Linked DNA regions of Oryctolagus cuniculus. The protein of the gene in region 1 interacts with the protein of each later gene in a pairwise test. Links are inferred from orthologs where the notes say so. Each region holds a gene or a part of one and is shown on either strand. Other genes may lie near its edges.

Region 1 (4,117 bases):
AAGGTTAGAACAGAAATCTAAAGTAAGAGGATAACATGTAAATACTGTGTTATTTAGCCTACAGTACAGTAATCTGGATACGAAGGAAGGGCACGGGACGGCCGCGGCGCCTCGTCCGCTCTGCCTCTACTTGCCCACGTTAGACCGGCCCTCGATGCAAATCTTGACCTCCTGAGGAATCAGAGAAGGCTTGGGAAGAGTCAAAGGCGGCTCGTCCTCCGACTTCTCCAGTTTGCGGGTCTCCGGCGCCGACCACCTCCTCTTCCTCGCGGCCGCGGGCCTGCTGGGTTCTACTTTCGTGAAGAAGGGTGCTGCGGGCAAGCCCATCTTCTCTGGAAACTTCAGTTCACCGTTCTCAGACAGCATCTGAGCGCTTCCCTGATTGAGCCCGTTCTCCTGCTCGGCGTACCTGTGTCTGCTGCCCGCCAGGCTGTCGGTCTTTGAGCGCTTCAGCAGGACACTGGCAGCATCTGCGGGCTGGCCCTTTTTAACAGAGCCATTCTTGGCGTTCTTGAGGGTGAGCGAGATGCAGACGTCACCTACTGAGAGTCTGGAACACGGCAGATCAAAGAGCTGGCTGGTTCTCTCCGGGCAGCAGGACGACCAGCCCTGTCCAAACACAAAAAAAGGATACTCGACCAAGACTTCCACGCTGACCTGTGGGAACAGGGAGAGACAGAGAGGCAGACAGGAGGGAAACCAGTGAGAGCTCTGTATGATTTCCTTCCTTCCCTTCCTTCCCTTCCTTCCCTTCCTTCCCTTCCTTCCCTTCCTTCCCTTCCTTCCCTTCCTTCCCTTCCTTCCCTTCCTTCCCTTCCTTCCCTTCCTTCCCTTCCTTCCCTTCCTTCCCTTCCTTCCCTTCCTTCCCTTCCTTCCTTCCTTCCTTCCTTCCTTCCTTCCTTCCTTCCTTCCTTCCTTCCTTCCTTCCTTCCTCCCCCACTCACACACACACACACAGGCTGCATGTTAATAAATTAGACTCCACTAACAAACTTCCCTTCCCTAGCAACACAACACAATGAGGCCCTTTGCTGCCTGTTGTATCTGCGTTTACTACATAGAGAAGCTGGGCAGGAGCCAATGCAGAAAACGGTCCAGTGAAAAGGTCCATTCAGTATCCAAATACTTCACTTAGCATTAGCTCTATCCCTGGTCTCTGTTAAAACAAGTCAGCTGGGGGTCAGCATTGTGGTACAGCAGGGTTCAGCCGCCGGTGGCAATGCTGGGCTCTCATAGGAGCACGAGTGTGTGGGCTGGTGGCTCTGCTTCCAATCCTGCTCCATGCCAGAGGTGGGGCTACAAGGAGACATTTAAGTATCACAAACAAAGGCAAGGAGAGGGTACGGGATGGGTATTTGCAAAATAGCCAAAGTCTGAAAGGCACCCGATGCTTTTAAGAGTTTAATTCTCATGAAATTAAATTTATTCAACATTATAAAAAATTTAGAGAGAGAGCAATGAAGTAGTTTAAAAAGTCAATTTTCAATGGCTGTTTGAGATGTATTAGACTAGGCAATTTTGGAACAAGCTTCCTACTAAGGAAAACTGGAAGCTGTCAACAACAACAACAAAAATACCATAAAAACAACAAAATTAAAAATTCTGAAGAAAATGTTAAAAAGCATTTTTATCAGGGCCAGTGTTGTGGTGTTGATGCCAGCATGCCATGTTGGTGCCAGTATGAGTCCCAGCTGCTCCACTTCTGATCCAACTCCCTGCTAATGGCCTAGAAAAAGCAGTGGAGGGTGGATCAAGGGTTCAGGCCCCTGCCACCCATTTGGGAGACCCAGAAGAAGCTCCTGGCTTCAGCCTGGCTCAGCCCCAGCCATTGCAGCCATCTCAGGAGTGAACCAGCAGATGACGATCTGTCTGTCTCTCACTCTCTCTGTGTAACTTTCAAGCAAATAAATAAATGAATAAATAATTAAAAAAACACTGTTTAAAGGCACTGGACAGAAATAAGACAGTAAAAAACTTAACTGTGTCAAACCAGAAAAGGATATGATAGCCCACAGATTTGAACCTGGTGGTGTTCCAAGCCAACTTTGAATATTTCAAAGTAGAGCAGTTATAAGATTAAGTGGGCTTCTGGGAATCTCAATAGCATTTTGTGTGTGTGTGTAATGCAGTGCAGGGTACACCAAGGGACGGTGATCTTTGGTGAACCCCGCTTTTTTTTTAAGATTTATTTTATTTATTTGAAAGACAGAGTTACAGAGAGAGGTAGAGACAGAGAGAAAGTCTTCCATCTACTGGTTCACTCCCCAGATGCCCACAATGGCCAGAGCTGCGCCAATCTGAAGCCAGGAGCCAGGAGCCAGGAGCTTCTTCTGGGTCTCCAACTTGGGTGCAGGGGCCCAAGCACTTGGGCCATCCTCCACTGCTTTCCCAGGCCACAGCAGAGAGCTGGATTGGAAGTGGAGCAACCGGGACTAGAACTGGCGCCTATATGGGATGCCGGGCGCTTCAGGCCAGGACATTAACCCACTGTGCCACAGCACCGGCCCCGAACCCCGATTTTTAACCTCTGATCCCAAACACTATGCCTTAAAAGTAAGGGTGCATCAGAAGTGGATAGGCCTTCCAAGGTCTGAAGTCAAATCTTAATCATCTCAGTCTCTAACACTGGATTCAGCTCTTGAATTATTTCCACACTGTTGCAAATACTACATTACCATTCAATTTTGAAAAGGGAGGAAGAATGAGGAGACCAAGAGAGAAGCAAAACTAATAAAGACAAAACATCTGATCATAAGAACAGACCCACAGGGGCTTCTGGTAATCACCAGAGACTTAAAAATGACCCTGCTTACAATATTTCAGGAGATGAAACACAAGCTTGAGGAGTGGGGAGAAAACTAGAATCTTAATTTTTTAAATGATATATTTATTTATTTGAAAGGCAGAGAGAGAGAGAGAGAAAGAGAAAGAAAGAGAGAGAGAGGTCTTCTATCCATCTACTGGTTCACACCCCCAGATGGCTGCAATGGCTGGAGCTGGGCCAATCTGAAGCCAGGAGCTTCTTCCAGGTTTCCCACGGGGGTGCAGGGGACCAAGAACTTGGACCATCTTCCATTGCTTTCCCAAGGCCATAGCAGAGAGCTGGATCGGAAGTGGAGCAGCCGGGACTTGAACTGGCATCCATACAGGATGCCGGCACTGCAGCCAGCGGCTTTACCCGTTATGCCTGCCCCAAGTCTAATTTATTTTTAAAATATTTCTGGACACTCTAGAATGAAAGCACTATATTCACTAAGATCAAGATAATTTTCCAGCTGAATAGACACAGTTGAAGAAAGAATTAGTGAACTGGGTTCTGTAATTGGATTCTGAACTAGATTAAGAGCTTTAGAAGAAACTACAAAAAATGAATCAAAGGTACAAAAAAAGGGGGGGGGCTAATTCAGAGGAGAGCCTAAGAGACAGAAGATACATTGAGAAGGTCTAATAGATGCACAATTTGAATCCTAGGAGGAAAGAGAACTAATACTTGAATTTTCCCAGACTAACAAGAGGGAAGTCACAAACTCAAGAAGACTTAGCCCCAAGAAAGAAGAGTGAGGAAATATCCTCACCCAAGCAGGTTATAGTTAAACTGCTCTAAGCCAGAGACAGGAAAGAAAAATCTTAAAAGCCTCCAGATCAAACAGACATTACCTCAAATCAGTAACAATTACATTCACACTCTCCGTCAACAAAAATAATGGGAGCCGGAAGACAATGGAATATCTTTAAAGTGCTGAGGTAACAGAGTTGCCAATCAAGCATTCTATACAGAGCACAAAGCTTCTTCAAGAATGAAGGCAAAATAAAGACGTTTCAGACAAACAGTAATTAAGGGAACTCACCAGCAACAGAACTGCTCTACAGAAAATACTAGAGTAAGCTTTCAGAAGGAAAAAAAAAAAAACCCACAAAGAATCTAGAGAGAGGTTTGTAGATGCAGGGAGAAATGAAGAGCAAGGAAACGGGAGCTATGTGGGTAAATCCAAATAAGCATCGGCTCTATACAATAGTGAAAATGTCCACTGAACTTCATACACTTGCATTATACCTACTCATAAACCATTAAATACTAATACAACTGTGGAAAGTAATAAATTTCCATGGAATGGAC
Region 2 (4,637 bases), on another chromosome or scaffold:
TGCTCCCCTCGCCCCATCACTTCCGCCCAAGGAGCAAACAGCCGGGCGATCGGATCGTCCTTAAGGCTACATTTAACCACGTCTACGCCTGCAGTAGGATCGGCCAAATCCTGGAGAGAGGCGGAGAGGGCGGGGATCTGCGGGTGGGGGAGCGGCCCTGGCGGCGCGAGGCCCTCCCCGCGCAACGCCGCTGCGACGCCTCGGGCCGCCGGCGCTGGGTGCAGACCCCAGTCGAGCCCCGCGCACAAGTAGGGGGCCCTGGGGCCAGCTCCAAGGCCGCCTCCGCGCCGGAGGCCGTCGAGGCGATGGCGCAAGACTTCACTCCCCCCCCCCAACCCCCGGCGACAACAGCCACGGTGACAAAATGGCAGCCCGGCGCCCAGCGGTCGTGCCACAGGCGCGCAGAGCCCTGGCGGCTGCCCCCGCCTCCCCACCAAGAACGCCTCGGCGCCCTTCGGGCCCGGCCCCGGGGCGGCTCTCGCAGTTAAAAAAAAAAAATCATCATCACAAATAAAACACCTGGAGCTCGGAATCGGCTCCGGGAGCCCGAAGGCCCGCCCGGCGCGCCGCCCGGCGCGCCGCCCCGCGCGCACGGCGCCCCGCGCCCGCCCGCGCCCCGCGCCGCATGGAGCCGGAGCCCGCATTCCGAGCCCCGCGCGCCGCGCCGGCCCCGCCGTGGGGGGAGGGGCGGGGCGGGCCGCGCGAGACCGGGGAACATGGCTGCACGTCCTAGTTCGGCGTCGCGGCGTGGCCACCAGCCCCGGATCCGAGTTGGGAGAGGTTCCGAAGGTGGGTGTGTGGGGGGCCCCCGGGGGCGGCGCGGCGGGGAGGGCGCAGGGGCGCTCCCCAGGAGCTGTTTGTCTCCCGAGCCTCCGCAAAAACCCGGTTCTCCTCCCCCACCCCTTTTGTCCCTCGCTCGCCGGCGCTCGCCCCCTCCCCCGCCGCCCGCGCCCCACCCCGCCCGGAGGCAGGGGCCGGCGTGCGGGCCGCCAGGCTGGCGGGCGAGGGGGCGCCGTGCGAGCAGCCTCCCCGCCCGGCGCGCCGCGCGCCCTCCCCCGCGCACACTCGCGAAGTTTAAAGCCGGTTCGACCCGCTTGCCCGTCGCGCTCCCGAGGCGGCCGGCGGTGCGGCTCGGGCCGGCCGAGACCCCGGCCCCTTCGAGCCCCGGGGGCTTTCCGGAAAGTACGCGGGAAGACCGCGGCCGCGCCCCCTCCCCCATCACCACACCCAGCCCCCAAAGGCTCGGCTCCCGGGCCCGGCCGGGGCGACGCGGGCCGGAGGCAGGCTGGCGCGGTGGACGCTCCGCGGCGACTCCCGCCCGGCCGGGGCGCCCCCTCCCTCCGCCCCGCGCGCCGGAGGCATCGCACACGTCCACCGTCCGCCGCTGCAGGCGGGAGGGGGGAGGGGGACGACAAAAAGGATCTTGTTTTCAAAAGTCTCACTCCGGTTCGGGGGAGGAACTAGGGTAAGAGGAAGCAAGGCCTGCCTCCGCCAGGGACTCGCGTGGCACGGGCCGGAGGGGCGACCGGTCCGCGCTCCGTGCCGCCCCGAGTCCCAACTCTGCGGCTCCCCGGCCTCCGAGGGTCCCGCCGGGGTCTCCGAGCCCAGCCGCCAACTCGGCCGGAACACCCAAGTGTGAGAGCGAGCGGGAGCCAGGAATAAAAGCGAGCGTCCGAGCCGCCCGCCTCGCCTTCCCCTCCTTGGGGTGCGCTCCGGCCCCACCCCCGGCTCCCACCCGCGTAAGTGTCCCTTGGCCGGGGTCCCGCCGCCGCCGCCGCCGCCCAGCTGGTGCCGGCCACGGGCAGGCAAACTCCTCGGCCCGGGGCTGCGTGCGCGCCGTGCCCGCACGGTCGTGGGCCCGCGCCGCCCAGCTCGGCGGCAGCTCCGGCAGCTCGCGTCCTGACAAAGTTTCCCGTGCCCGTTCCCGAGTCTGGGGCCGCCAAGGAGCCCGCCACAGTCCAGGGCTGGCAGGGGCCGGGGCGAGGGGGCACCGGGACGCGGCGCCTTTGGGCAACTTGCGGCGGCGGCGGGAGCTTGGGGAGGCGCGGGGGCCCCGGGCGCCTGGGCGCCGTCGAGAATCCCTCCCCCTCCTGCCAATCTACCCTCCCCTCGGAAGGAGAGGGAGAAACATCAGCATCTGGCCCGAAGGTGGTGTGGAAAGAGTGAGGGAGAAAGAGGAGAGGAAGGGAGGGAGGGAGAGAAAGGGCGCGTTCACGAACACTACAAAGTTACAAATATGGCTCCCCCGTCTCTCGCCTCATCACTGCGAAGCCACCGAGACGCACTTTAAACTCGAGCCGCCCCCAACTCCGCGGCGGCCCCCTGCCCCGGGCCGCGGCCCCCCGCGGACCGCAAACTACACCGGACTCGCGGCGCCCAAAACTTATTGTGCGCGAGGGGGCCGGGGCGCGGGGGCGGCGCGGCGGCCCCGAGCCCCCTCCCCCGGGCCGCGGAGCCCGGCGCGCAGCCCCTCGCCGCCGCCCCCCGCGGCCATCCCTGCCCCGGCCGAGGCGCGGGAGCCGCGGGCCCCGAGGCTCCCGCGGCCCGCACGCGTGCGCCCGCCGCCCCGCCGGTGCACACTCGCACGCACCTCGCACACGCGGGCGCACACGCACAGGTAGTCACCCAGCAAGGGCAGCGGCTCGGGGGGCTCTGCGGCCCCCGGCCCCACGCCCCCGAGGAAGAAGTGCCTCCCCCTCCAGCGCGCGCGCGCACACGCACATACACACGCGCGCACACACACACACACACACGCACACACAAAGTAGGAGAATGGACCGCCGGGGATATTTTTGGCAAATGCTCACATCAGAGGGCGTCCTGTTCCGCAGCTCTAAATGAATCCGTTTGTTCATGTCCATCTCTCGCGCTCTCTCTCTGCAGAGGCTCCCGCGCCGGCGGAATTCAATCAATAAACCCCGGACCCACGGCCGCGCGTTTTAGGACTTTGAAGGCTCAACCAGCTCCGCTCGGTTCTCGAGCCCCCAGCACCCGCGGCGCACACTAACCTGATCGCCGTGGAGGCGGGATCTGCGGCCCCGCGGACGAACGGCAGCGGCCTGGGCCAATCGCCGCCGAGGGTCTCCGAGCAACAGCCAATGGCGGCGGCGGCGGGGGGGGAAGGGCCCAATGGGCGGGCTGCGCAGCCGGCCAGGGAGGCTCAGCCATTTGGTTGTGGTGCCGGAGACGGACCCCTTTAGATTTCGGGGCGGCGGAGGAGCGCGGCGGCTGCTCCCTGGCTGAGCGAGGGGGGTGGGCGGAATGGCGGGGGAAGGGAAGGTGACTGTGCCTCCGGGGCCGAGCCGCCTGGCCTCGCCAGCCCGCCGCCGCCTCCGCGTTTGGCCGGGGGCGGGGCCGCAGGTGCGTTACACGAGGGGGAGGGGCGCGGCCGGAGGGGTCGGGTCGGGGTCCCTGCCGCGCCGCGGGCTGCGCCAGGGCTGCCCGGGGCCCGCCCGCGCGGCACACCGCGGGGTTGCGGAAGGAGGCGGGCGGCCCGGCGTGGCTGGGGCGGGGGGAGGCCCCGGGGACGCGGGAGGGGTCGGGGTGCGCTGGGGGAGGGGGCGGCCCTGGGCCGGGGTCCCCAGGGTCGCGCCGGGAGCCCCGGGCTGCGGCTCCCGGCCCGCGCGCCCCTTCCCCTCGGTGCGGCCGCCGCCCGCGGCCTGCACCCCGGCGTGACTCACCGCGGGTCCACGGCGGTCTCCTCAGAGGCAGGCTTCCTTGTGGCTGTCGCGTCAGGTCAGCTCGCCCCGGGGCGCCCGGGCCTGGAGTGGGTGAAGACCGTGCCCTGAGAGCGGCCGCCGCACGTCTGCAGGGGTGGCCGGGGCGAGAGGCAGGCGCGGGTCCCGCCCGGAGTCCTGGGCCGAGGCCCGTGCGGCTGGGAGCCGCGCGCCGTGCGCTGCGGCTTTGCAGGGCGGCATCGTCGGAACGCTTGGCCCAGGCGTCTCCGTGGGCTGCCGCCTGATTATTTTGGGGGGGAAGTTTTGAGGGACCTCTCAGCCCGGTTCCCCAGCGGGTTCCCGACTTGGCGGCGTCCGCGTCGGCCTGCCCCTCTGGGTCGGCGCGTTGGTTTCTCCGCACACCCCGGTGCCCCCAGCACGGACCCCGAGCTGGTTTCCCGCCCCCCTTTTTGGATATTGGATACATTGTTTACTCCCCCCCCCCCCCAGACGTGGGTTCGATGGAGGGAGAAATGTAAAACATGGTTACATAACACCGATACAGTTTCATTCTTAAAGTTTAGGAGGAAATACAAAGTGACAGCGTAAATAAAACACTGAACGCGCACACGGGGCAGGAAGCCGGAGCATCTTAATACTGCAACCTGCTGGATTGCAGGCCTGAAGGGCTGCGGCTCATAAGCGTTTTCCTCCGTGCCTTTTTTTTTCAGCGAAAATAACAAGTGCAGTTTGAAAGGTGAGCATGGTTACTCTGAGTAGCTGAGAAATGCAAAATTAAAAAAAAAAAAAACACCTTAAGTCATAGTTTTATTTCATCTGGATATAAATAGTATAATTGTTGACTTAGCTGGCATCTCCCTCGGCCTCAGACGCTGCTAATCTTATTGAGGGCTATTTGTGTCATTCGGATTTATTTACTTTTAATTGTATTCTCTTTAAGACAGGAGGGAGCCCAAATTA
Region 3 (4,680 bases), on another chromosome or scaffold:
AGAAAAAAGAAAAGAAAAAACCACACACACTTGAAAGTACAATAAAATAATCCTTTGGGGAAAAAAGGGAACTGAAATTCAAAAGGGGCTGGGGAGGAGCTAACAGGCCAACCAGAGGCCTAGCAAAAAAGTCCCTCGGCCAAGCCCAAAGCAGAGCTGGGCAGAACCGGTTCTGACCTGCCATTCCTGAAATTCCACTCTCCCAAGAATGTCTGGTCCCTCTTCCCTAGGCTTTCCTCTCACCCAAGTGGCCCACTGGGGCCTGGGGGATTCAGGGCACGGTAGGCCATGGCAGGCCCCCACAACAGCGGGGACAGGGGCCACGCGGTCAGCAGTGGGCAACTACAATCCACAGGTATGCAGGCACCGGGGGAGGGGCAGCCCGCTGTCTCCCTCCCTATCCAGCCAGCTAACACAGCAGTCAGTCAGAAGGGAAGCGAAGGGATAACAGGAGGCCCGGAGAGCGGGCCACAGAAGTTAGACAAAAAAACAGACTGTGGGAAAGCCAAAGTGAACCAAACAAGCTCTTCCCCCAGGCTGCAAACTAGCCCGTGTCCAGCGCTGTTTACCAACACGCTGACCAAGAGGGAACCTGGATCTCAGCCCTCACGGTGGCCACGCCGGGCTCAGCCTCCGCCCAACAGGCAGCAGACACCCAGATTCTGGCTGAATTCCCCAACCCTTCTGAGCCATTCTGGTGTTCCCAGGCGGTAGCACATACAACCACGACACCAAAACACTAGCTGGCCACACAATGTGGAGCGGGGAGGTCACAGTTCCACCTGCCCTGGAGGACACGGCCAGGGACCCAACAAAAACAAGGTAGCTGTCCATCCCCGTCCTGCGGTCCTGTGGGCTGAAGCACCTTGTTACAAATCCTACCGGAAGCTCCCAAGAGCCTCCAGACACCCAGGCAGGCCCAAATACTCCCATCTCAGATGCGGGCGCTAAGGCTCAGAGACTCCCGTGAGAGAACCGGCGAGGACCAGACCCCGGCTCGGGTTCCAAAAGACACGCTTGCCTGTCCAAGCAGAGGCTCCCCCACAGGGAAAAGCAGTTACCCCGGAAAGGCTGGGCCTCCTCGGGCCTCTGCGCGTCGTCCTGGGGGATCTCTGGCCCTGCCTTAAACCCAGCTCCAGGACTGGACTTTGAAGGGACCAGGACCCCAGGTCCAAAGACAGGGACCCATGACCACACCCCCAGGTCTACCAAGCGCTCAGCTCCAAACGCTGCTTTGCCTGGCCCGGAAAAAGGGCCCGGTGCTGTTTTGTGCCCTGGACTCCTTCCTCCCTGCCCGAGCCTTAGGCCAGCAGCCGTGGCGTCCACAGCAGGCTTGGCGCCGTGGGTGGCACCCCAGTGGCTAGCATCTGTCCTGGGACCTCAGCAGCTACGCAAACAGTCGTACAAGGAACACCACCCAGCAGAGCAGCGGCTGTGTGCCCAGGCCTTCTGCCACTCTCCCAGCCAGACAAGGTGGAGGGCACGGCGCCCCTACCTTTCTCCATAACACAGCCCCAGCGCCCGGAGCGGGACTGCTCCCGCAGAGCCCGGGGCCTCCCCGGCGTCCCCTGACACCAGGCGCTGTGCACAGACATGGCTGACCGGCTGCAGCTGGAGAGGAAGAACCCCCACCCGTGCTAGGACTTCAGAGGTGGTGACAGAACCCGAACCGGATGATAATGCAGAACGCACCACCAAATGCACAACAAACCTGACAGAGGAGCAAAAAAAAAAAAAAACCCAAAAACTAGAAATAAAAAACAGACCTGGAACCCAAAGGCTTGAAAGGTTTCTCTCAGGCAGCCATTTAGCAAATGACACGCTCCAGAGAGCCTCCCCGCCCCCCTTCTCCCGCTCGCTGCAAGCTGCCGGCCGCCAGGAAAACACCCCCTCTCCTCGCCTCCAGGTGGGCTGCGACCCCCGCCCCCGCCCCCGCCCCCGCCCCGTGATATTCAGAGAGAGGAAGGAGGGAAAAATCCCTTCCCATCTCACGTAGGCCAGCCCCTCCGGAGAGGCCCACCGCTTGCAACAGTGCTGGGCTTTTTTTTTTTTTTTTTAAACTAAGGTGGGGGGGGGGGCAGAAAAAAAAAAAAAAAGCCATCTGGCGGGCCCCGAGCAGCGACATCCTGTTTATTAAACGTTTTTAGCCAGAGAGCATTCAGTGTTTTTTTCAAAATAACCCTGTGGTGCCCGCCTGCGAGCCCAGGCCGCCGTCCGGGGCGGCCCCTGACCCCGCCACCCGGGCTCGCAGGCCGCGGGCCCCCGACCCCCAACTCGGGCGGCGCGCGGCGGCCCCCGGCCCCTCCCCCGGCCTGCGGCGCGACCCTCGGCGTTTTTGGAAAAGTGAGCGAGGTGGGGGTGGGCTGGGGGCGCAGAGCCGGGACGCCGTCCCCGCTCCGAGGGCGACCCCGGGAAGGGCGACCCCGGGGGGCGCCCGGGGCCTCGCGCGACGCCCGGGGACCCGCCCGCCCGCGGCCGCGCGGCGCCCCCCACCACAATGGCGAGCGCCGGGCCCCCGGCCGCCCCCGGGCCGCGGCCCCTCGGCGCTCGCGGACAAAGCGCGGCCCTCAGCCGCCGCCGCCGAGACAAAGCGCGGCCGGGCCGCGGCGCCTCCATCTTAGCGCCGCCGCCGCCGGCCCGCCGCCCCCGGCCCGCGGCCGCCCGCGCCGCCCCGCGCCCCCGGCCCACCTGGTCTGGTTCCGCGGGCGCGACGGGGCAGGGCGATGGCGGTCGGGGCGGCGGTCGGGCGCGGGCGCGGCGGGATGGCGGCGGATTGCGCGGCGGCGGCGGCGGCGGCGCGGCTGTCGCTCGCTCGCTCGCTCCCGGGCGCGCTCGTCGCTCGTCGCTCGCTCTCTCGCTCGCTCTCTCTCGCTCGTCGCTGGCGCCTCGGAGCCCGTGTCTCGCCGCTCGCCTCCGCTCGCGCTCGGCTCCCCGCCCCCCGCTGCCGCCGCCCCCGCCTCCTCGGCCGCCTCCTCCCGCCGCCGCCGCCGCCGCCGCCGCCGCCCGCAGCTCGGCCCGCGCAGCGCCCCCTGCCGCGCCGCCCGCGAGCGGCAGCCTGGGGAGGCGGTGCGGGGCGCTGCGGGGCGGGTGGGGGCAGGGCCCGGGGGGAGGAGGAGGAGGAAGGGGGTTGGGGGGAGGGGCCGGAGCCCGCCCCCGCCGGTGCGGGAGGCGTGCGGTCTGTGCTGCGTGCCCGCCGGTGCGGGAGGCGGAGAAGCGGGGTGGTGACACCGCGGGGGTACCTTCTCTCTTCTCGGATGCGGGGTATGGGAGGCCGGCTCTCCCGGGTGTGGGGGGGCATGCAAAACAAAAGGCCTGCGCTGGGCTCCTCTGCTGCTTCTAGACAGTTCTTAGCAGGTACAAAAGAAAATTTAAAAGTGAAGACCAAAAAAGAGAAAGCTGGGGCCTGGTGCCAGCTCTCCCCCCCGCCTCGGTCTTCGGGGCGTTTGCCCCCGGGAGCTGAGAGTCGGCGGATGCGGGTGAAGGGCATGTGTCCCCGTGGATCCCAGGCCTGGGGTTGGGTGCCACACAGCAGGGCCCTGGAGGAGCGTTCCAACATTACCCCCTCTCTAAACGTCAAATTCGCATTGCTTCCTGGGGCAGAGCTGTGATAACGGACCCCCAGTCCTAATCCATGGTCCTGTGAACGCGTCACCTTAGGTGGCACAGGGGACTTTGCAGATGTGACTAAATTGAGGACTTGGGCTGGGGACTAAATCCCAGGTTAGCTGGGCCCCTGGAATCCCAAGATGGAGGCAGGTTGGTCAGACTCAGAGCAGATGTGTCTGATGAATAAGTTGTCTTTTTTATTTTTTTATTTTTTTTTTTTTTGACAGGTAGAGTTATAGACAAAGAGAGAGACAGAGAGAAAGGTCTTCCTTCCGTTGGCTCACTCCCCCATTGGCCGCCACAGCCAGCGCTGTGCCGATCCGAAGCCAGAAGCCAGGTGCCTCTTCCCAGTCTCCCATGCGGGTGCAGGGCCCAAGCACTTGGGCCGTCCTCCACTGCACTCCCGGGCCACAGCAGAGAGCTGGCCTGGAAGAGGAGCAGCTGGGACTAGAACCTGGCGCCCATATGGGATTCCGGTGCCTCAGACGGAGGATTAACCAAGTGAACCACGGCGCCGGCCCCAGAAGTTGTCATTTTTTAAAAAAAGTATTTTATTTACTTGAAAGACACAGCAACAGAGAGAGAAAGAGAGAGAGAGAGGTCTTCCATCCTCTGGTTCACTCCCTCAAATGGCTACAGCAGCCAGGGCTGGGCCAGGCCGAAGCCAGGAACCAGGGACTCCGTCCGGGTCACCACCGGCTGCCTTCCAGGAGCACCAGCAGGAAGCAGGAGCAGAAGTGGAACCAGGCCTCCCGCGGGCACTCGGACACGGGATGCAGGCGTACCAAGCAGTGGCCCAACCTGTTGTGTCACAACGCCCACCCCAGAAGCGGTCATTTTGATTAATGAAATGGTGGTGCAGGACCTCACACCAAAGAATGCAGGCAGCCTCTGGAAGCTGGAGATGGCCGGGAATGGACTCTCCCCTGGCCTCCCCCTGCCCGCACAACAGGGCCGCAGAAGGAAACCAGCGCCTCTGGCCCATTCGTCCACTTCTGAGCCCCAGAACTGAGAAAGCTGTGCCGTAGATGCTATGTTACGGCAGCAACAGGAGTCTGGTTAAGACAAGGAGAC
Region 4 (4,770 bases), on another chromosome or scaffold:
TCTGGCCTGGTGAGTAGGTAGTAGCACCCTTGTTAACCCCCTGCATCAGGGCCATGGGCAGCTGTGTCAGCCAGCCAGCGGCTGTTGTCTCTTTCCCAGGTGTGACTGCAGCCAGTTTGGCAGGTGATCCCCAGATACCACCACACCCCAGGACTGCAGGGCAGCTTGGCGCCTCCTGAATCAGACTTTCCAGTCACAGAGGGGGCAGGGACTGCACCCTCCTTTCTCCTGTGCCAAGGCCCTCCCCCAAACCATCTCCTCTGGGCTGCTGTGAGACCTGCAGGGAGGGAGACTGGCAGGTGGTCAGCCGGTAGGCTTGTGAAACTCACACCCAGAGCAGCCGCTGGCTGCAACTGGGGAGCTCAGCTTAAGGCAGAGGACTTACCCAAGGTCACAGAGCCAATGAGTAGCCAAGCCTAGTTAGAACCAAGCTTCCCAGAGCTGTAGGCAGGGGGCCTCCAGGGTGGGTCCCTTAGCCCAGTGTCAGCAAGAACAGCATCTCCAGCTGCTGTAATTGTTGCCATAGGCAAAGCCTCGTGGGGTTGAGAAGAAAACTTCCAGTGCTGAGAAGCCCCAAGGCAACGATCAGTACTGCTGCCACCCCCCAGCCCGCGTGATGCCCCCATCTGCACTCCTTCCTCCCCACCCCCATCCCAACAGCCTCGGGTTCCTCCTGTGTGATGCCCCCATCTGCACTCCTTCCTCCCCACCCCCACCCCGACAGCCTCGGGTTCCTGCCGGGAGACAGGCTTTCTCCCCAGTGGAGGCAGCTGTTTCCTTGGCTTCTGGAAGCAGACAGGGTGCTGGAGCTGTCCCCACTGCGCAGATGACGACAGTGAAGGACGCTGACACTGGCCCAAGCCCTGAACGCAGGTGCCTGACCGCCTAGTCCAGCTCTGAAATCTCTGCAGAGTGACAGATCGCCATTCTGTGGTCCCCCTGAGCCTTGTCCAGGAGGAGGTGGGGACACCACCGCGATCACACGGAGCCGGCGCCTATGGACCTGGCTATGAGGGCCTAATCACATCTGTGCCCTTGGTGTCCCCAACAGGGCCTGGCGCCTGGCAAGCACTGATAAAAGCAGTTTGGATCATTGTGAAAGGCACAAGGACCTCTCCTCCGAGGGCACCCGTGTCCCTGCAGAAGGGGCTCCCACGCTGGGCTCCACCTTCCTGGTCCCCCATGCCACAGTCTGTCCTGGGGAGAAAAAGCCTTGGCCGGTTTGCTCATCAGCCAGATGACAGCGGGCAGCCGAGGAATGCCTCTGCAAGCAGCACTGGGCCGCGGTGAGTCAGGCCCGGGGAATCTGCCCCTGCCTCCACCCCCTCCGGTTGGGTTCCTTGTTCCTGGGGAGGGCGGATGAGGAAACCCCCCTTTACACAGCCCTCCCCCCTACTGGAGGCTAAGGTAGCGGAGGCAGGGGCACGGTCTGCTTCACCTGGCTTGCTTGGCTGCCTCCCCAGAAGGTAGATGCCCTGGCTGGCAGCACACCCAGGGGTTGTCGAGGGATTTCCTGGCTCCTTCCATCAAGGACTCCCCTAACACCTAGAAGGTGAGCTTGAAAGCTGGGGAGGGGGAGGAGGGCTTGGGCAAACCCTGAGTCTGCAGCAGCCTAGTCCCAGGAAGACCCGAGTCGCAGGGTTTGATTTTCACCTTATTAGGCCATTGTAGGTAGCTCACTACCGCCCCGGAGGCCTCGGCTGTAAAATGGGTTCAATAATGATCTAACTCTGGCACGGCAGAGCGTGACCGTGCCTGGGCTGCGCAGAGGAAAGAGAGATTTGGGGTCATGGAGAGTCAGGTAGGGGAAGAGCTGGAGTCTGAAGATAGGAAAGAGCTGGCAGAATTCCCTTCTCTGGTTCCCCAGGAGAAACGCGGGGGTGCCGCTCTGAGACCTGGGTTTTGCCGCGCTTCCGTTGGGGAGAGAGACAAATACGGACGTCGCCCTCAGGGCTGGGCTGCCCTGGACTCACAACCCCAGCCAGGAGACAGGGAGCCCCCGTGGGGATTTCTGGACTTTCCCACCTAGGCAGGGGTTCTATGGGAACACACCGAGATTCTGATCCTGGAATCTTGAGCCCGTGAAGGGGGTGGGAGGCGAGGCTGGGGACTGAAAGCTGTTTCGCCCACGCGTGCACACCTACCCACCCAGGGCTGCCTGGCATCTTCTGTCCTCGCAGGCAGGGCTCTTCTTCCCGCCAAGTCCCTCCCCGTTCTCGTCCTCTCCCCCAGCCAGGGCCCGCGGGGTTCCATTGGAGGGGAGGGGGGACAGGGAAAGCCAAATGAGGAGGAGGAGGTGCAGGAGGAAGAGGTCTGGTCTACCATCAACACGTTCTGTGCAAGGTTTACAGCCCCAGCCCCGTTCCTCAGTTTCCCGAGCTGCCCAGAGAACTGACCAGACTCCGGGTGCCTCCCAGCCCAAGAGCCCCCAGACCCCCCTACCCGCGCCCGCCAGGCGCCCTCTCACCTGCACGATCTGCCGGGGCTGCACGCTCAGCGTGGGGAAGTTACCGCGCCCGTGAATGGGAATCGGCTCGCTCAGGAGTGCGTCCAGCCGCTTCACCTGTGGCCAACTCAGCCTGCTCAGGTGCCGGCCGAGGGAGGCCGAGGCCGAAGAGGTCTCTGGGTCGGGGCCGCCGCCAGCCGGGGCGGCCGTAGCCACCGCTGAGGCCGTAGCCGTCCCCACCTGCGCAGCCGCCCCGTCTCGGCTCTCAGCTCCGCTCTCTGACAGCATCGTTCGCCCAGCCCCGGAGCCCCGACGGCAGAAACCGGGGGGTGATTAAGGGGAGGCGGGCGGGGGGAGCGGCTGTGCTGGGACCAAGGCGGGGGGCGGAGATGCAGGGACGGGGCGGCAGCGACGGCGAGGCAGACCCGGGGCACACCTCCGACAGCGACGACCCACCGACCCTAAAGCCCGCGGTCCCCTGCCCAGCTGACTCTTATAGGCCGCGGGCCACATGCCTATTGGTCCGCGCTGCTGTCACGTAGAGGGAGCTGCCCCGCCTCTTGATGCCCTTGCCATTGGCCAGCAGAACTTTGCACGTGAGTCAGTGTTTCCCAAGGCGATTCCGATTGGCTGGAAGGCACGCCCATGCCCCGCCCCCTTCACACGCTGAATTCCCTCCTTTGGTCTTTAAAGAATTTTTGTGCTTTGTCGTTGGCCTGGGTGGGCCTGAACTTAAAGGGAAAGCGCCCTCCAGAGGCAGGCGGGAGGAAAGGGAGTTGTGGAGTTTGTGGAAGGGTCGGATCGCTGAGAAATTCCAGAAGGAACTGAGAAAATCACTCGGGCCGGTCCTGGTCGTCCGCTCTTTTCCAGAAGCCCGGAGAGACGGCGCCGCTTGCTGAATTCTGCGAGGCGCTTTCTAACGCCCTCTCTTGCGTGGCCCGTTCACACAGCAGCCTGGCTGGTGTCGCTGTGCAGGTGCAGGCGGGGTAGATGCGCTCCGGGAGCCGGTACAGCTTCCCTAGCGTCCCCTCAAGTTCTGGACCAAGGCTGTAGCACCGGCAGACCCTTTCAGCTGCACCTAAGCCGACGCGGGGCTTTTTCGGGGCTGGAGGATGGGCACTCCGTGAGCCTGGCTTCCTCTCCCACCTTACAGAGGCGGGAGAGTGCAGCCTCATTATGGCTTTAAATTCATCTCTTTCCCTCCTGATTTTAAATAAACGTGTGTGGCAAACATTCAGAAACTAAAGCTATCCGATTCATCACTGTAATAATTTTTTCTTAAATATATTCTCAATAACGTATCAAATTGAATCTGATCCTCCCAACGTTCTCCTGTGAGGCAGCCTGGGCAGCAGTCATAGGGCCACTTTACAAACGGGGAAACCAAGATCTGGAAGTGGTAAACCTGAGGTCACCAGCCTGACCCTGACAGACATGGGAGTGGACCTGGGGAGGCCGACTCTTGGGCTAAGCAGCCCCTGGCTCTGGCTTTCCGGGAGGGGACCTACTGCTTGCTCCCCTGCTTGGCTCAGTGGTCTTGGACCAGTCCCTTCCAGGCCTCAGTGCAGTCGGCTGCTAAGAAGTTTATAGAGGGGCACTGTGGCCTAGTGGGTTAAGACTCCATCTGTGGCACCGGCACCCCATATGGACACCAGTTCAAGTCCTGGCTGCTCCTCTTCCGATCCAGCTCTCTGCTATGGCCTGGGAAAGCAGTAGAAGATGGCCCAAGTGCTTGGGCCCCTGCACCTGCATGGGGGACCTGGAAGAAGCTCTGGCCCCTGGCTTCACATCAGCTCAGCTCCAGCTGGGGAGTGACCCAGCGGATGGAAGACCTTTCTCTCTGTCTCTCCCTCTCTCTATCTGAAACTCTACCTCTTAAATAAATAAGTAAACAAACAAACAAATAAATAAAACAGACATAGAAATCTTCGTTGGACCCAGCACATCTCCCTGAGGTTAACGAGGAGAAAGGTCCAGGTGGTCTGCTACCCCCACTTCCGTGCCTCAGCAGAAGAGGGAAAACAGACGGGAACACTTGCTGAATTCCTGCTACGCACAAGCTCGTTTACATACGTGACCTCCAGTTCCTAGTGCACACCTCAGTGTGTGGGGTCATTGTGCCCAGCTTACAACTAAAGAAACACAGGCTTAGGCAGGTCAAGTGATGTCCCCAAGGTCACACAAACCACTACTTGGCAGTCTGGGGCTCGAGTCCAGGTCTCCTGACTCCAGAGCCCAATTTTGCAACCACTCCTCTTGGAAGACTTGGCACAGATCACAAAGTTGTGCTTGGCACAGCTCCGGCCCCACCCACAAGATCCATC
Region 5 (4,859 bases), on another chromosome or scaffold:
GAAGAGGGGCAACCAGGACAGAATCCGGCGCCCCAACCGGGACTAGAACCCGGTGTACCGGTGCCGCTAGGCGGAGGATTAGCCTAGTGAGCCGCGGCGCCGGCCACCCTACACTATTATTCCTTTGCTTTTAAACTTTTCAGATATGGGTCTTTTTTCACTATGATACTTCTTTTAAATCCTGGCCCTAACCCATATACCTTCTTCTGCCTCGCCTAATCGGAGAGAAGAAACATTCTAGGTTCTCAACTTTCCTATTTTTCCTGTGGTTTTTCAAGTTCTTGATACTGGATTGGTGTTAAGTGTGGCCTTCTAGAACTAGACTTGAGAAAGGGATGAAGCAAGTTACTCACCAGGTGACAGAGCCAGTACCCGAGCCAAAGTCCATTAAGGTTTGTGGCTGAAACTCTGGAATTCGAGTTCGGATCTGGAGAAACACACAACACCCCACAGTATGGTAAGCAGATACTTATTTAGTGCCTTAGTAAATATGAATTAGGGGACTATGACAGAGGAAGAAAGATGTGAACACATTCTGAGATTCAACATAAACACTTAACAACAAGCTCCTAAAATAGTGGTTCTGAACCTTTCTTGGGTCACAGAATCCTTTTACAGGACAAGAGAACTTTAAGAAAGAAAGAAAAAAAAAAAGCAAAGCATAAAAGCCTACGCAGCACCCTAAGAATCCCTACCGTACAGACTACATTATGAATCAATAAGGGAACAGCAGGTAAGAGCGTTCAAGTTAGACACAGATTTTTCACCTCATGGAATGCCCTGGAGACTGCCGCGAAGCCACCATCCAGTCTCGCTGCCATATACACCAGGCTCAGTCCTTCATTGTAGCTGCACAAAAATCAGAGTCACACCTGCTGACCATTGCGAGGAAATAAGATCTTGGAAAGGGCTCTTCCACTTTAGCTTTTCACTCCCCAGGGCAGAGTGGTCCTGGGGATCACTATCACTCAGGCACTTTTTCAAACACTGCATTGATCATGCAATTGTGCGGCTCCATTCTCCTTTTCAAGTCCAACTTTTCTTCCTTCTGCATGTTTTCTAGTCCCCCTCACCTCAGTTCTTGCCAATGGTAGGTGGTTTTGCGCAGGGCATGTAGCACTGCTCCACGAAGCTTTTCTTCTGTCTGGGATGAGTCTGCGGTGAGAACAAGGACTGGAAGTGAGGACCTAAGGAGAACAGAGACCAGATCCAATATTTAATTCACTGCCCTCCCGGTTCTCCCCTCTCCCACTGGAAAAGCCTCAAAGCTCAAGAAAGCAGCCAAACCTAGAGAAAAATTTCAGCTAAGGATAATCACCACCAGCACCCCTAGAGTGTATGAGATAGTATTTGCCTCCAACAGCAGTATATTCAACTTAACTGACCCTACCCAACAAATTTTTTTCTATAATAAAGGAAAATACAATTTAGATTTAAAGGATAAGAGAAGGACAATTATTTTGTGGATTTCCTCACTTCCCCAAAACTTAAGACTGTGACATCTTGAATGTTCCTATAGGTGGAAAAGGGACTCTATTGTGTTTGGCAAGTATGTACTAAATGCCCATTCAGAGCCAGATTGTGGGGGGTGTAGGGGACACAAGATAAATAAAAGGTCTGTAAGACGAAGGAGCTCACAACCGTGAATATATTACATGTATTCTCCAATCCCAGAGGTTTTCAGCATTAGGCAGTTAACTTTACAGGGACTTTCACCTTAATAAGAATGGGCCAGCGCTGCGGCTCAATAGGCTAATCCTCCACCTAGCGGTGCCGGCACACCGGGTTCTAGTCCCGGTTGCCCCTCTTCCAGGCCAGCTCTCTGCTGTGGCCAAGGAGTGCAGTGGAGGATGGCCCAAGTCCTTGGGCCCTGCACCCCATGGGAGACCAGGAGAAGCACCTGGCTCCTGCCTTCGGATCAGCGCCGTGCGCCGGCCACAGTGGCCGTTGGAGGGTGAACCAACGGCAAAAGGAAGACCTTTCTCTCTCTCTTTCTCACTATCCACTCTGCCTGTCAAAAAAAAAAAAAAAAAAAAGTAGATGGTCCCAACTGGGATCCAGATTTCAATTGCCATACTCTGTCCCTTCCTCACGTCCCAAGGGTAGTCTCTGGAACAAATCTATCTTCCAGTAAGGTGGAAAGTCAAATAAGAAACTCCAATATCTATTTGAGAGACTGTAAAATTATCTCTTGCACTTCATTCCCCAGTTTCAATCCGGCCTAATCTTTCATCAGTCTTCAATCCTACCTGCGTTTTCCAGGAACTTTTTCTCCAGACTCACAGCCCGTCTTTGTAGCTCCTCAGGTTCTACGGGCAAGTGTCGGCTCCAGAGATAATTGGTCAGTGCTTGCACATGCTTCTCCACATTGGGCACTGCGTTCTCTGGAGGCCAGAGATGAAAAGCAGAATTACCTGTGTGCAAAGGCCCATTTCTTTTTCTCCTCGGATACCCCTTTCCCGCCGTTACTTACGGAGTAGCAGTAGCTGGGCGGCGTCAGCCAGTGCCTGTGGCAGTTGCACGCACGGCAGACGTAGGATGCCAGGGTGCCGACGGTGAGGCTTCTTCCCCAGAAAATCGGACTTGTTATCTACCTGACTCACGCCGCGAACAAGGGCCGCCAGCGCCTGGAAGCCGAGAAAGGAAAGCTGGGTGCCAGCCACAAAGGAAGACTGAGGGCTCTCAATTAAAGGAAGCGGCTGCCAAACAGCTCCTTCTTGGAGCGCAGCTGTCTCTAGGGTCCCAGAGCTTCTTCGGGAGCAGAGAAAGTAGGTACTCACCCGGGACTGGGGGGCCATTCGAAGCCCGCGGCGCCATCTGCCCAATATCGAGGGCAACCTCTTTCCCGACGCAGCCGCCATGCCTTCGCAGGCGAACCGGAAACAGAAACGAAAGTGACCCTCAGCTCCCAACGACGCGCGGAACTTCCTCCGGGATTTCGCTCGAGACAGCATCAACCAATGAGAAGAAGGAGTGCTCATTAGTAGCCAATAAGCAGTCGATATGTAAATCTACTCGCGGCGGAAGCCGTTCGTGGGCGGGACTTGGAAGTCAGGTCCGACCTGATCGGCGGAAAGGGGGTGCTGCAGAGCCCGAAATTGAGGGGGCGGGGCATGAGGGACGGAGGCGGGCTTTCGGCTGTCAAAATCTGGTTGCTTTTCTCCCTGTAGAACTGAATCTGGAGTTGTTTTCCTCTGTGAACCGGAGAATGCAGTAATGAAAAGGTGAGGAAACCAGATTTAAACTACTAAAGGTAGTAAATTAATAATTTAGTTAACAGTTTAATTAGTTGTCAGTTTCTCGTCAGTTAGCAATAAGCTAACGCTAACGCTTGCTGAGAACGCCCACATGCTAGGTAATGTGCTAGGAACTTCTCCTTGGGGTCTGTTGGGAAGTCAGCATCCCATATCAGAGTTCCTGGGTTCCGCATTCCAGTTTCTTGCTGGTGCACACCCTGCTAGGCAGCAGGTGATGGCCCAAGTCCTCGGGTCCCTGTCACGTAGGGGACCCGGGTTAAATGACCAGTCCCTGACTTAGGCTTGGCTTCACCCCTGCTGTTGCTGGGATTTGAGGAGTGAATCAACAGGAGATTCTCTCTCTGTGTTTAAAAATAAATTTTCAAAATTAAGGAAGAAAATCCTTCTATGTAATCTAGTTCCTACCAAGGCATATCCTGCTGTCAGCCCCATTTTGCACTTGAGGAAAGTGAGACTTCTAATGGTTAAATATGTGCAAGATCACAATTTTTTTTAAAGATTTATTTTATTTATTTGAAAGAGTTACAGAGAGAGGTAGAGGCTGAGAGGGAGGTCTTCCATCCGCTGGTTCATTCCCCAGACGACTGCAACGGTCAGAGCTGCCCCGATCTGAAGCCAGGATCCAGGAGCTTCTTCTGAGTCTCCCACAGGGGTTCGTTCAGGAGCCCAAGGACTTGGGCCATCTTGTACGGCTTTCCCAGGGCATAGCAGAGAGCTGGATGGGAAGGGGAGCAACCAGTACTAGAACTGGGGCCCATATGGGATGCCGGTGCTTCAGGCCAGGGCTTTAACCCGCTGTGCCATAGTGCCGGCCCCTGAGATCACAAATCTTGTTAGGTGACAGCTAGTTTAACACTGATTTCATTTTTACACAATATGCTATACCCCATATTGTTGGTGGTTGGGGCACAAGTTAGTTAACTTTATGCTAAGTGTTTGGAGGTGTTAGCATGTAACACTAAAAAGCTTACTGTGCCGTAAACTCTTGATATCTGTAGCAAAGGTCCATCCTTACTCTGCTGGGATAGAAGTCTAGTGACAGGATGGGTAGAAGTTCTTCCTTTGCTGTTATGGCAAGAGTCCAAATATGATAATTATGGTGTACCATGGGGAACTGTGTCAGCTGAAGACTTAAATGTCTGATTTGTTAGGTTAACATGATTTGATTCCAATAAAGGAGATCTTTCCTTTATAATCGAAATGCTTTAGAAGTAGGCTTCAGGTGTTTCATTATTCTCCTCCTGTTCAGGCTTACCTTTCTTTTGGTGTGCCTTTTTCCTCTTTGAGTTTGGTTCTGCTGCAACACTTGGTTTCATCTTTTGTGGTACTTTTATTGGCAGGATAAAAATATACCTTATACATCAGCTCTGTGTTCTACTAGAGAAGTAGTAGAACATAGAAATAAAATGCCTGGCTTCTCAAGTCTCATAGTCTAAGGAGCTGGATCACTTCCCAGATGGCTGCATTTGCCAGGGGTGGGCCAGGCAGGAGCCAGGAGTGCCTTCCAGGTTCCCTGCATGGTGCAGGGGCCCAGTACTTGGGCCATCCTCTGCTGCTTTTTCCAGGACATTAGTAGGGAGCTGTATTGGAAGTGGAGCAACC
Region 6 (4,768 bases), on another chromosome or scaffold:
CCACGTGGTTTCCAAGGAGCGGAGGAGCAGTACACCACTCTCTGGAAAGAAGTCCCTGCTCCTGCGCTGTGGCCCGCGGGCTAAGCACCCCCGCCCCGCCCCCCGCCCCGCCCCGCCTGTGGTGTCTGCATCCCTTATGTGTGGGCGCCGGTTCTAGTCCCGGCTGCTCCACTTCCGATCCAGCTCTCTGCTGTGCCCTGGGAAAGCAATAGAAGATGGCCCAAGTCCTTGGGACCCTGCACCCACGTGGGAGACCCGGAAGAAGCTCCTGGCTCCTGGCTTCAGATCAGCCCAGCTCCCGCCATTGCGGCCAATTGGGGAGTGAACCAGTGGATGGAAGACCTCTCTCTCTCTCTCTCTCTCTCTCTCTCTCTCTCTCTCTCTCTCTCTCTGCTTCTCTGTAACTCCGCCTTTCAAATACGTAAATAAATCTTTAAAAGAAGGAATCCCTGCTCACCTTCTTCTGGAGAACTTTGCAGGTTGCAAAGGCCCCGAACGGAATCTAAGTGAGATAAGGAAGGGTAAGCGCCTCCCTCCGCGGTGGCCTCCCTCCCGCGGGGGGCTTCCCGGGCGGGGCGGGCCGGGGCGTGCGCTGGCCGGGCTGGCGGGGGTGTGGCCAGGCCTGCTGCACTCAGCTAGCAGAGGGACCCTGTCCCCGCCCCCGCCTCCTCAGGCCCCAGGGGCAGCTGTGCATCCCTGCTCTGCCAGCCCCGAGGGAAACGGCGGGCCTTGGAGACCCAGCTGAAAACAGAAGATGGCGTGAGCTCTTTCAGACCCGGAGGTCTAAGGCTGCGTCTCCTTCCGGGAGCCCCTCCCTCCCCTGAGACCCTTGCCGGAGACCCGGGGTCCGAGAGAGCAGGGCCGTTCCCATGCACGGCCCAGACGCGCCCTCACTTTACCTCCGAGAGCTCGCATTTCGAGATGTCCAGGATGTCATCCGCCCCAGCTTCCTTCGCCTAAGGGTACCGAGATGAAAAAATCCTTGGGGAGTGAACAGGCCGCCCAAAAGCAAGGAGCGGCAAGGGGCGCCCTGAGCGGATTCTCGCGTGTTCTCCAGGAAGTCCGGCGATCCCACCGGGAGGTGCGCCCGGCGGCCAGGGCTGGGCTGGGGAGGCAGAGGGGAGGGAGCGCGCAGCTGAGCCGGGCTGGGGCCGGGGCACCCGGGTCCCTCACCAGGCACATCTGGTACTCCAGGCGCTTGCGAGCCTCCTCGCTGGGTTTCCGCTTCCGGAAGAAGAGCGGCATCGTCCCCTTTCCCCGGAGCGGATCTTCAGGGCGCTGGGGCACAGGAGAGAAGCTGGGGCCTGCGGAGTTTGTCCCCAGCGTCTAGGACAGGTGGACAGGTGGCCCCAGCCTACGGTACCGCCTGTCTCATCCACCAGTTCCCTGAGCCCACGCTGCAGGTGCCCAGGACTCAGACAGTGGCCGGCTGGGGCGGAAGGGGCACGCGGCAAGCCATGTGATCCGGGTGTGGGCCCACGTTCGCCAGGGACCCACTGTGGGACCCCGGCCGGGCCTCCACACTTCCTCAGGATTCTCCCGGAGGACCCTAACAGACTGGGGTCACTTCCGGCTCCTCCAAGCTAGAACGGCAGAACCAGACTGGAGCCAGCCATGACTCTGGGGGGCTCAACTACGTCACAGCCAGAGGGATCTCGGAGTTGAATCAACATTCAGGGGCGACCCTTAGGCGCCTGGCCGCCCTCACAGTCATCACTCCATGGGACCCTCACCAGGGCCCTGCTGATGGTGGAGAAACACGCTCAGCAGGTTCTGGGATGTGGGTCTGCAGCCTGGAACCCTGGGCTTCCACGACCTGATGCTCAGGGGTTTGCCACCTGCTTGGCGCTGGGGTCCTGGACCAGGAGTTGGTGCCCACTGCCCGCAGGGGCCCTGCCCAGTACCTGCAAATATCCGTGCCGGGGGCAGCCACCCGCCAGGAAGCAAGCACCAGGCTGGTAGGGATCCAGGCTCGGCCAGCCACCTGCTGTGTCACCGTGGCTCACGGCTTCCTCACCTGCGGAGCCTGAGCGATAATGTCACCGACACCGGCTTCCCAGTGAGTTCACACACCTGAGGCCCCCACACGGCCGCTACCTGCACACAGCGAACGCTCCACGGCCACAAAGCGCCGCCCGTCCCGCACACACGGAGCCAGGGCCGAGGGCTAGGGGAGCAGACGCGGCTGGGGAAGCGGCGGAGGCCAGAGGTCTCCGCCCACAGGGGTGCGGGCTGCCAGCCGCAGGGGTGGCCCGCCCAGGCCCTCCGGTCAAACCCACCAGTCTGCCGGCACCGGGCAGGGTCTGCCGCAGCCTGCCCGCCCCGCTCCCCATCTCCTCCCAGCTCAGCCCCGACGCCGCTCCCTCATCTGCTGGCGTCCAGCCCGGGGGCGAGGGCCACACCCATCCTCCCCTCGGCTGCGGTCACCGGGCCGGGTGGGTGGACAGGCGGGTCACCCCCGGGCTTAGCAGTGGCTGCGGCTCCTCCGGGGCAGGAGCTGGGACCGAAACCCAAAAGCTCCAAAAGTCCTGCAGAGCAGGAGTGACAAGTCCGGGACGCCGGGCTCGCACGAGCAAGAGTTGCACCTGGCTTAGGTCTGCTGAGCGGACCCACACACCACGAAGGGGTTAGGAGGAGTCCCGGGTCCCGGGACGGGGGCGCGGACCGCCCAGGGGAGGGGCAGGTCTCTGGATTTCGGTGACAGGGACCCCGGGGTGACCCTCACGATACGAGAGCACAGCAAACAGCGAGGCCCGGGATCTCGGGAGCAGCCTGTCGTCTCTGCCTCCCCGTTGGCGAACTGCCCCGAACCCCGCTTCCGAATCCTTTACCCCGGCTCACCGCGATGCCCCCGGCTCTCCAGCAGTCAGCCGCAGGAGCCTGCCCACAAGAAACATGGCGGCAAGGGCGTCGCCAGGCGGAGCCAGGATTTTTTAGGCGGAGCCAGGAGCTCTCGCGAGAGCCGCATTTTCCTGCTTATATCCGGTGCGGTCGGCGGGACTTCCGGCCTTTCGGTATTCGGCTCGGAGGAGGCCAAGGTGCAACTCTCTTCGGTCGTCCCGAATCCGGGTTCATCCGACACCAGGCGCCTCCACCATGCCACCCAAGTTCGATCCCAACGAGATCAAAGTCGGTGCGTGCTCTCGCTGCGAGCGGGGCTGCGGGGTGCAGGCTGCCCGCGCCCCGCCGCGCTCCTTTCCCGTGCGCGAAGCTGCGCGTCCCGGGCCTCGGCTTTCCCACGTGTAGATGGGGAGGGAGGAGCGGACGACCCTGGCGGCTTTGCAGCCCGCACGCCTTAGGGTAAGGCTTGTCTTCGGGGGTCTCTGCGCCCCTCGTGTGGGTTCCGGGCGGCCTCCGCTGCGGCGCCCGAGCGAGGAGCGTGTGTCCGGCCTTGATCCCCGGGAGCTCCTGGTGCTGTGTCGGGGAGAGGCGACGGCCGGGTGGGCAGCCCGGAGAGGCGCGGCCCCTCCACTGAGGCCCCGGCTTTCCTCCCCCTCCCCCCAGTATACCTGCGGTGCACCGGCGGCGAGGTCGGCGCCACGTCTGCCCTGGCCCCCAAGATCGGCCCCCTGGGCCTGGTGAGTACTTGGTGCGCGGCCGGAGCCGAGCGGCGGACCCGCAGTGGGCAGCGCGTGGCGGGCTCGCGGGGGCCGTGGCCGGCTCCACTCTGTACCGCGTTCATGCCGTGGGGCACCCGAGCGTCGCTCCTGCCACTAGGGGCCATCTTGCCGTGGCCAGCTGGGGCCCAGCCTCCGCAAACGGGTTCGGGCTGCGCGCGTGCCGCCTCGGTGCAGGGGCCCTTCGAGGCGTGGCCGCACCGGAGCCTGGTGCTACCTGGGGTATGGGGCGCAGGTGCAGCTGCCCTGGCGCTGGCGGAGGGAGGTGGCGGTACTGCGCAGGTTTGGGGGCTGCGGCCCAGCTCGGGCACAGGCTGATTACCCGCCCATATCTCTACAGTCTCCCAAAAAGGTTGGCGATGACATTGCCAAGGCCACCGGCGACTGGAAGGGGCTGCGGATCACAGTGAAACTGACCATCCAGAACCGGCAGGCCCAGGTATTTCCGCCTGTGTTGTCGGCCCCCAGGCTGGGCTGGGCTGGGCATGCTCTGGGAGCCCACGTGGGTGGCCGCGTCGCCACGCTCACCGGCGTGGGGTCCAGTGGGGTCGGGCTCTTTCACACAAGACTCTGTCCTGCAGATCGAGGTGGTGCCTTCGGCCTCGGCCCTCATCATCAAAGCCCTCAAGGAACCGCCCCGGGACCGGAAGAAGCAGAAGAACAGTGAGTGCCTTGTGTAGGGGTCTGTGACCAGCGGCGGCTCTGGGTGTCCCCTGTGTGACAGTGTGGGAGGTGACGGGTTAGCTAGTGTGGGGCAGGTCCTGCTTCCCGTGCGTGCGGGGGGTGGAGGGTGAGTCCTCTGGACGCCTAACTGGCCCCAGCCCGGCTTCCGGCGGAGGCTCGGTTGTGTCCCAGCCACCCGCCACTGCGCCTGCCCATGCTGCTGGCTGGCGCAATCCAGTGGTGAGCTGAGAGGAAGCCCCGGCTTAGGAAACAGGGTTGTCCTCCACGTGGATGACTCTGTGCCGAAAGCACGGGAACAGCCTGCCACGGCTGGCGGGGCCTTGTGAGGTTTCACAGGCGGCCGCCTCTGACCGAGCTTCCCCTGGTCCTTCCTGCAGTCAAACACAGCGGCAACATCACCTTCGATGAGATCGTCAACATTGCCCGGCAGATGCGCCACCGGTCCCTCGCCAGAGAACTCTCCGGTA

The links. The genes of interacting proteins can lie anywhere in the genome.
Region 2: the proteins of ATXN1 (region 1) and ANP32A interact in binary tests that used the Homo sapiens proteins (3 or more experiments, as listed by UniProt). The link is inferred for Oryctolagus cuniculus from reciprocal best matches to the Homo sapiens genes ATXN1 and ANP32A.
Region 3: the proteins of ATXN1 (region 1) and PRRC2B interact in binary tests that used the Homo sapiens proteins (3 or more experiments, as listed by UniProt). The link is inferred for Oryctolagus cuniculus from reciprocal best matches to the Homo sapiens genes ATXN1 and PRRC2B.
Region 4: the proteins of ATXN1 (region 1) and TENT5B interact in binary tests that used the Homo sapiens proteins (3 or more experiments, as listed by UniProt). The link is inferred for Oryctolagus cuniculus from reciprocal best matches to the Homo sapiens genes ATXN1 and TENT5B.
Region 5: the proteins of ATXN1 (region 1) and METTL17 interact in binary tests that used the Homo sapiens proteins (3 or more experiments, as listed by UniProt). The link is inferred for Oryctolagus cuniculus from reciprocal best matches to the Homo sapiens genes ATXN1 and METTL17.
Region 6: the proteins of ATXN1 (region 1) and LRSAM1 interact in binary tests that used the Homo sapiens proteins (3 or more experiments, as listed by UniProt). The link is inferred for Oryctolagus cuniculus from reciprocal best matches to the Homo sapiens genes ATXN1 and LRSAM1.

The regions. Positions count from the first base shown.
Region 1 is NC_091436.1:143,606,005-143,610,121, forward strand, and holds part of ATXN1 (ataxin-1), read right to left. Parts: intron 658-4,117; coding exon 127-657; 3' UTR 1-126. UniProt on the Homo sapiens protein: Chromatin-binding factor that repress Notch signaling in the absence of Notch intracellular domain by acting as a CBF1 corepressor. Binds to the HEY promoter and might assist, along with NCOR2, RBPJ-mediated repression. Binds RNA in vitro.
Region 2 is NC_091443.1:91,522,581-91,527,217, forward strand, and holds the start of ANP32A (acidic leucine-rich nuclear phosphoprotein 32 family member A), read right to left. Parts: upstream 2,939-4,637; 5' UTR 2,862-2,938; coding exon 2,808-2,861; intron 790-2,807; exon of another isoform or gene 650-789; intron 1-649. UniProt on the Homo sapiens protein: Multifunctional protein that is involved in the regulation of many processes including tumor suppression, apoptosis, cell cycle progression or transcription. Promotes apoptosis by favouring the activation of caspase-9/CASP9 and allowing apoptosome formation.
Region 3 is NC_091432.1:233,878,203-233,882,882, reverse strand, and holds the start of PRRC2B (protein PRRC2B), read right to left. Parts: upstream 2,939-4,680; 5' UTR 2,689-2,938; intron 1,817-2,688; exon of another isoform or gene 1,767-1,816; intron 1-1,766.
Region 4 is NC_091438.1:144,514,063-144,518,832, reverse strand, and holds the start of TENT5B (terminal nucleotidyltransferase 5B), read right to left. Parts: upstream 2,939-4,770; 5' UTR 2,735-2,938; coding exon 2,468-2,734; intron 1-2,467. UniProt on the Homo sapiens protein: Catalyzes the transfer of one adenosine molecule from an ATP to an mRNA poly(A) tail bearing a 3'-OH terminal group in an ATP hydrolysis-dependent manner.
Region 5 is NC_091443.1:53,913,027-53,917,885, forward strand, and holds the start of METTL17 (ribosome assembly protein METTL17, mitochondrial), read right to left. Parts: upstream 2,939-4,859; 5' UTR 2,862-2,938; coding exon 2,781-2,861; intron 2,628-2,780; coding exon 2,474-2,627; intron 2,385-2,473; coding exon 2,250-2,384; intron 1,156-2,249; coding exon 1,074-1,155; intron 850-1,073; coding exon 768-849; intron 428-767; coding exon 354-427; intron 1-353. UniProt on the Homo sapiens protein: Mitochondrial ribosome (mitoribosome) assembly factor. Binds at the interface of the head and body domains of the mitochondrial small ribosomal subunit (mt-SSU), occluding the mRNA channel and preventing compaction of the head domain towards the body.
Region 6 is NC_091432.1:230,975,577-230,980,344, reverse strand, and holds the start of LRSAM1 (E3 ubiquitin-protein ligase LRSAM1), read right to left. Parts: upstream 2,939-4,768; 5' UTR 2,842-2,938; exon of another isoform or gene 2,832-2,841; intron 2,809-2,831; exon of another isoform or gene 2,098-2,808; intron 2,027-2,097; exon of another isoform or gene 2,018-2,026; 5' UTR 1,905-2,017; intron 1,305-1,904; 5' UTR 1,246-1,304; coding exon 1,174-1,245; intron 957-1,173; coding exon 900-956; intron 503-899; coding exon 458-502; intron 1-457. Other genes in the region: RPL12 (large ribosomal subunit protein uL11), read left to right, coding at 3,097-3,133, 3,505-3,578, 3,958-4,056, 4,199-4,280, 4,679-4,765.